Linked DNA regions of Coturnix japonica. The protein of the gene in region 2 purifies or fractionates together with the protein of the main gene of each other region. This does not show direct contact. Links are inferred from orthologs where the notes say so. Each region holds a gene or a part of one and is shown on either strand. Other genes may lie near its edges.

The links.
Region 1: the proteins of DDX17 (region 2) and DROSHA purify together in Homo sapiens (co-immunoprecipitation; 3 studies listed by IntAct, with this or other methods). This does not show direct contact. The link is inferred for Coturnix japonica from reciprocal best matches to the Homo sapiens genes DDX17 and DROSHA.

The regions. Positions count from the first base shown.
Region 1 is NC_029517.1:60,505,462-60,509,081, forward strand, and holds part of DROSHA (ribonuclease 3), read right to left. Parts: intron 2,892-3,620; coding exon 2,799-2,891; intron 1,995-2,798; coding exon 1,948-1,994; intron 1-1,947. UniProt on the Homo sapiens protein: Ribonuclease III double-stranded (ds) RNA-specific endoribonuclease that is involved in the initial step of microRNA (miRNA) biogenesis.
Region 2 is NC_029516.1:46,430,692-46,434,515, forward strand, and holds part of DDX17 (probable ATP-dependent RNA helicase DDX17), read left to right. Parts: intron 1-17; coding exon 18-117; intron 118-250; coding exon 251-384; intron 385-1,118; coding exon 1,119-1,184; intron 1,185-1,473; coding exon 1,474-1,615; intron 1,616-3,426; coding exon 3,427-3,587; intron 3,588-3,686; coding exon 3,687-3,824. UniProt on the Homo sapiens protein: As an RNA helicase, unwinds RNA and alters RNA structures through ATP binding and hydrolysis.

The DNA.
Region 1 (3,620 bases), on a different chromosome or scaffold from region 2:
TTTTCAGCGCTGTGCCTGTAACGTGATTCTTTAAGAACCTGCAGAACTCAGCTCGGTAGCAACCAGTTTCATTTATAACTCATTTATGATATAGGGAAATAAATTTATGTAATAAACATATCATGACTATAAGATATATGAGCCCCGATCCAAAAGTAATGCCTCTTATTTTATTTTGTTGGCCCGGGAGGTCAGAGGCAGATGTTAGTGGTATGGTAGTAGAAGTTGAACCTTCCCACCAATGTTCCATTACATTTTGTTGCCATGTGACAGATGGCAGCAGAGGGGCAGTTTGACAGAATAGCATCTGACATGGAAGTGCATACAAAGCAATGGTGCATCACTGATTTCTCCCATGCAGAAACAATGGCACCCACTGACATTCACTGAAGCTTGCCAGAGTTATGATGACCAAACAGCACATGTGAACACAGTGAGGCAGAGGGTGGTGTGTTTCAGTAGTGGGGGCAGCAGATCACCTCCACTGATGTTTAAGAGCATGGCATGCAGGCTGTCCATTGCTGGCAAAAATGTATAGCTGATGGCGGTGACTGGCTGAAAAACTGTTTTGTAGCTGAGAATTTGTTCTGTCAAATAGCATTGTTGGGAACTGTGTAGTTTCCATGGAAATAAATAGGTGTTAACTTCAGAGCAACTTATGTATAAAGAGGTACATGAAAATGAATTTTACTTGAAATTAACTACATATATATTCCTTAAAACAAGACAAAAAAAACCCTGAAACCTCTCCATAAATCTTCATACCAGTGCCTATAGGGCCTATAGAGCCTCTATCTCTTAAAGAGACTCAAAATTTGACCCGAGAAGTATGATCAAACTTCAAAGTAGAGCTTGCTTTGAGAAAGAGATGGAATAGAGACCTCTAGAGATCCCCTCTACCTAGATAAGTCCATGGCACCCAAGCCAAAATGTATGTCAGAAAAGAGCAGTGAGAAGTCTTACACTAAAACAGGGGGTGAAGTTCACAGCTCTTTGAGAGTGAACCCTTAGAAGTAAACAGAAAGAAAAATTCCAGAAGATTCTGCAGTTGTTTGCTGGAGAAGTTGCATCTTCTACTCGTCAGATTTACTGCGGGTGAGATGCCTATACCTAGCAGGTGGATATGAATAAGTCTGAAATCCCTGGAATGACAGGGATTCATTGTCTCTTGAAAGTCTAAGTCCTGCAATTTCCACATGCAGACATAATAGATTAAAAAACTTTGGCATCTGGGGAGCTGCAGATATTTCAATCAGTTGTAAAAATGTACCTTTAGCCTCTCCACACAGAGAGCTTCTTTTGCTGTACAGAACACGTCATCTATTTGTTTGCAATACCTGCACTTTAACTCAAGAGACTGGTCTTCATATAAGACGTCTGCATACGCTCACTTCTTTCACTTCAAATTTCATTGCAACTGTTCCCATGCTGGCATTCCTTTGCATAATTTTGAAAGATGCAGGCAAGGATCACTGTACCTTCAGCTGATACGAACTGTTGTTAACAGGAAAGTATCAGCTTACACTGAATGGGGACCTGCCTGTTAGATTTTAACCTATCTACTGTAAAATGTGCAATCAAATTGGCAATTTAAAATTAATTTTCCTCTTCCTCTGAATTACAACATAAGATAGATAGCCTCACTGTCAGACTAAGAAGGTTTATCCCACTGCATTTTAAAGTATGGAATAAAATCTAAATGAGACTACAACACATGGTTCCCTTCATGATACATTTGCTGTAACGTGTCAACTCTCTTTGAAATGACAAATGATGCCTACATAGGCGTTTAAAAAATTGCTTACAAGGACTAAGAAGCAAACCTGTTAATCAGAATCTGAAAGCATTCAGTACATTCTGAGTTTGATTTTGTTCCCAGACAAAGCCTGCACCTTACAGTGAAGTCCAAACTAAAGGCAATGTTTTTTTGTTGCTCCAATATCTTACATTTTTCAAGTGCATCCATCGCAGCTCCCATTTCTGCTTGTTGAATACTATGAAAGTCAAACAAAAACATGTTAAATATGATTTAACTTGTACAGAATAAACTGAAGTATCTAGTAATGTTATTACAAGACAGAGTTTTATTACAAAACTCTTTGGATAACCAGAAATTTCCAGAGTATATATTATCCTTTCTATGATTATGAGAGCAATAGCACGACAGTTCCAATAGAACACTTTAAAACTTAGATCAATAATGTTAACAAAATAATCTACTTTATCCTTTGCTCAAGTTTTTCAGCTGTGACCAAAAAAAAGGAACAAAATCAGAGGCATGAACTCTCAGAAGCCAAAGATATTTTTATAAACACTACCAGTTTTAGTAGCACAAAATAAGATGATTTACTTTGTGTGTGTGGTTGTAAACTGTGTAATTTTAGAAGATATTCCAAAATACCTAAAGTGATAACATTTGATGAAAATTAAGAATTTTGCACTCCAACTTTGCCAGCCTATACTGAACAATAATCTAGCATTAAAGCCAAAGATGAAGTTATTATTTCCAGCAGTTTGTTCTGCAGTTTCCACTCTGAGAGCAGCAAATAGGAGATTATTGCTGGCCACCTGGTTCTGAAGTTCACAAAAAAATGAAGCTTAAGACCCAGAAGTACACCAACATTCAGGTCTTACGGTACTTCTGATGCAGAAACTCAGAATGACCCAAAGAATGCCCCACAGTTTTAGTTTCTAAGGCTAACCAGACTATTACCAAACTTCATCATGGTGAGTCATTCTGGACATTGTCACATACAGATAAAAGTTTAACTGCATGAGATTAATTTTTTCCACTATACCTTGGGCCTTTACCACATCCTATTCTTTCCCCTTTGAAATAGACAGCTACTGTGTACGTCCTGGCATGAGATGGTCCCACTGTCTGCAGAGTCCTGAAATGAGAGACATGATTTATTCAGACAGGAAGTATTAAAAAGCAGAATCTGTCAGTGGCACATACATCACCAAGCTTTCAGTCCGGTAAATACATTTAGTGGAACTAATGCATAGCATGGAGTTGAAGGATGGCTTTATAAACTACATTAACCCACAGATCCCCCATATGGTGCGTGTGCAACAAAGAGAAGTAATTTACATAAAATGCATCTCATTCATATCGAATGTACTTATTCTTCAACATTTAGACAGGAGCACTCTGTGAAAATTAAAACTTTCACCTATCGGAAAAAACACACACTATGAACAAAGCGCTGAAACACTGAATACACTTGGAATAAAATCACTTGAATTACATGAATCTGTGAAATTGCAAATAAGCACACCAATATGATTGTGCACTCTATAATTTTAATCACAGAGAGTTGTTCATCTGGCGAGGACTTAATGCAGGACACGGTAACTCACTACACCATGAACTGTCACAGTACTTTTCCATCAGCTTTGAAAAGTTAGAGTTTCTGTCACAAAACAAACTTCCCTTTTGAACTAGGAATGTCTAGGACATGCATCAACAACCACCTACAGGGGAAAAAGATAATTCCCCAGACATGCAATGAATTTGCTTCTTCTGCTGTCTCTTCCTTCTGTCCCAAATCTCTCCCTGCTGTCAGTTTGAGTTCTGTCCATTACCTTGTTTCTTTTTGGAAGAAGCAACAATTTCA
Region 2 (3,824 bases):
TTTTTTCCATGTAATAGTATGAAGTTGAAGAACTGAGAAGGAAGAAAGAGATAACAATTCGAGGAATGGAGGGCTGCCCCAAGCCTGTGTTTGCCTTCCACCAATGTAGCTTTCCACGTAAGTGTTTTACCTTTCTTTAAGAAAATCAGGATTACTCAAAAGCAGTAGTATCTGTTTCTAAAAGGTTTTCTGAAAATGTATTTAGCCTCAGTTGTCCTCAAATAAATTTATTCCTTCCTTAAATGTTTAGAGTATGTGATGGATGCACTGATGGACCAGAATTTCACAGAACCCACTCCAATTCAGTGCCAAGGCTTTCCACTTGCTCTCAGTGGTCGTGATATGGTGGGCATTGCTCAGACTGGCTCTGGGAAGACACTCGCAGTACGTATTCTTCCCTTTCATCTCCATGCTTACTTTCATTGTTGCCTTGTGGAAATTACCCTTGGCTGCTTGTTACTAGTGTTTGGTCTTAGTACTATAGGCATAAAGTGAGGTGATTGCATATTTTTAAAGCCTTCTTTATTGTATCATGGGTGAGCCTCAGCTCATCTACCCTGTCTTGTTCACAGAAGTGTTTTTTGCATGGTTCTCTTTTGATGTTGAAATGCTTCTATTTTGTCCATGCTTATGGTGTGGATTAAGAAATAGTATGTGCTTTATAGTGTATTTGTCTTACTAAATGTGCAAGTCCAAAGAAATGATGGTTGAGTCTTCATTAATATATTAATCTTATCTGCACTGGTCAAGAAGATATTTCCTTCATTATGAAAAGCATTGTTTAGAGCCAGCATGACTCAGTTCTGCTAATTTAGGCTCCAAATATAAATGTGCCTTTTCTTCAGAGGCACTTAGCAGCCAAGTTTTTCGCCTGTGCCAAAAGCAGATGAGGTGGCTATATCCAGCAGCTCTGGAAATCTCATCTTTTGAATGAATACAAGTATGGTTTAGTAAATGTTAATACAGATGAGATTTATTCCTCTCTCTGAAACATGTAGTGGCTCTTGAAGGGATGTTAGGTTATGTGGGCTTTTCTCATGGCCCAGTTGTCACAGCAAGTGGTCATTAGCATTGAATATTTAAGTCCTCTGTCTTGACATAAAATTTTTTTGTTTCAGTACCTGTTGCCTGCAATTGTTCACATCAACCACCAGCCATACTTGGAGAGAGGGGATGGCCCAATTGTAAGTGCTTGTCAAATCTCTTCTTTCATCTGTATGATGTGGCAACATTAATGAGATGTGTGCTTTAATTGATATATCAGAATAGCAAGTAGAGCACGTTTACAATCACAGTGTGAACATCCCACTCATTAGTTGAAATTCTGTGCGATTGCTGACATAATCTAAAGATATTTCTATGTTTTAGCTAATAGAGAGCAGATGGTCTTGCTTTGCTTATGGTATTTGAGTAGAGTCCTTGAGTTAGGGCTGTGTCTACAGCTTGGCTAACCTGAATTGATTCCTTCTGCAGTGCCTGGTTCTTGCACCTACCAGGGAGTTGGCCCAGCAAGTGCAGCAGGTTGCTGATGATTATGGCAAATGTTCAAGGCTGAAGAGTACCTGCATTTATGGAGGAGCACCCAAAGGTCCCCAGATCAGAGATCTAGAAAGAGGTAATTTAATTTAGATTTTAAAATGTGTGGTTGCAAATTTCCAGAGTGGTGAATTTGGAAGCAATTTTAAAGCCTGTTTGAAGAGGTATTGGTGGTTGAGTAGCTGTCTCTTCTCCCCCTTGGAATGATAGCGCATGTGGTAATTCTCTGTTGTGTAATGACTTATTTGGATATTAGACATTCTTTATGATTTATCTTTGGACTTGTGAAGGTCATTGGAACTTGTTCTTAAGGATTAAGCTCACTGCTCATGGCACCTCCATAAAGTTCTGCAATTGCCTTTCTTAACATAGTAAAGGGATGTAGTTTAGAATAAGAAGGTGCCATGTTTCTGCAGCAACAATAGTAGCACTCTGGCGATTTAGCCTTGTATCAGGGGCTATCTGCGTGTCATTTCAAAGGCAGGAATGTTCTGAGGGTTTAACCTTCTCTAGGCTAAAAAAAAATGGGTGTAATTCTGTGAGAAGATGTAAGATGAAACTCACATGCTCAGATCTGCTCAAGAAATCACAAATCTTTACTTAGTGCTGTGGTGTGAAAAGTTATTATTGAACACTGCAGTATCAGGATAAAATTGTGTGGTAGAAGGCTGTGGGATAGTTCCGTTCAATAGAACGGCAGTGCACTCCTGTTCAGAAGCAGCATCATCAGTGGGTGAGACAGTATTAGATGAGAAGACGGTGAAGGGGTCAACTTGTTTTTTCGGAAGCAGAAATTTTACCTTGTTGGTTATAGAACATGGGCAGATAAGAGTGTCTTTGGAGCATTACTTAGTATTTACTGCTGCAAAGATTGTTGAATAGAGTTCATAGAACACACTTTTGACTCAGTTTTGCTTTTCTGGATATCTGGTGAATTTGCTTTGGGAGGAATACATCACTGACAATAGAGCGCCGGTTTTTTCAGTGTCTTTAGCAAACCTATGACTCCATTAATAGGCTGATTCTTGCATGAGCTTTGTCAGATTAATCAGCTTCAAGGAGCCCAAGTTGACACAAACAAGAATCAGGGCTGCCACAGCATACTGTTCATCTGAAACTGAAGCATCTATGAAAGTCTTGGGGTTTTGTGCTGCTTTTTGTTTGTTCTTTTTCTTTGATTCACTTCTTGGCTTAACTTAACATTTATGGGTATTTCTGTGATACCAAGGAACTCGCCTCCGAGGCTGGGAGGTTGGTGGAAAGGGGTCCTTCATTTTAAGGAATGTATAAACATACTTGATGCTTCTTTGTGAATACTTGAATTCTGTTTTGGTGCTAACAGTCATGGGCTTGGTGATTCACAATTATAGCATAATTATTCAGTATTAAAAGCCATGCTTTAACTTTCCGTGACTTAAAATTAAAAGGACAAAAGTAGAAGCAAAACTGATTTGACTTGTGCGGCAAGGGATACACTGATGCTTGTTAAGCAGGTTGAGTTTAGTTGTAGCTCACTATTATTTTTCCTAGAGAGCTCTAGATTGTATAATCGTGGATGAAAGGGCATCAGGGTTGCGTAGAAGCTTATTTTGGGGCCGCTGTTGTTCTGTGCTCTTAGCTGGTGTTTTCTGACAGTAAGCTTTTAGCTTCTGTACTGCATTTATTGTTCTAATGGCACTGCAACAGTAACTTCAGAATGGGAAAAAAAATGAATTATTAAAAGAAACTAGGGCTTCTACTGAAATGACTCAATCTTGGATATGGATGAGGGTGGTGCTTTTTTATCTTATTTAAATGGTTTTGCTCTAGAAGGTGATTCATTCTGACTAAAAATACCAATTGACATTCAAATGAAGAGCCTTATTCTTTTTTCCTCCTTCTGTTTCAAAGGTGTGGAGATCTGCATTGCTACACCAGGTCGCTTGATTGACTTCCTTGAGGCAGGAAAGACCAACCTTCGTCGGTGTACATACCTTGTGCTGGATGAAGCAGATAGGATGTTGGACATGGGCTTCGAACCCCAAATTCGCAAAATTGTTGACCAGATCAGGGTGTGTGAACCTTGTAAAAAAAAAAAAAACAAAAAAAACAGCCTCCTTCAGCTTCCCATCCAAAGTCCACAACCTTAAACCTTTTTCCTTTTCTCTTAGCCTGACAGGCAGACTCTAATGTGGAGTGCCACCTGGCCCAAAGAAGTGCGCCAGCTCGCTGAGGACTTCCTGCAGGACTACGTTCAGATCAACGTAGGGAACTTGGAGCTGAGCGCCAACCACAATATCCTGCAGATA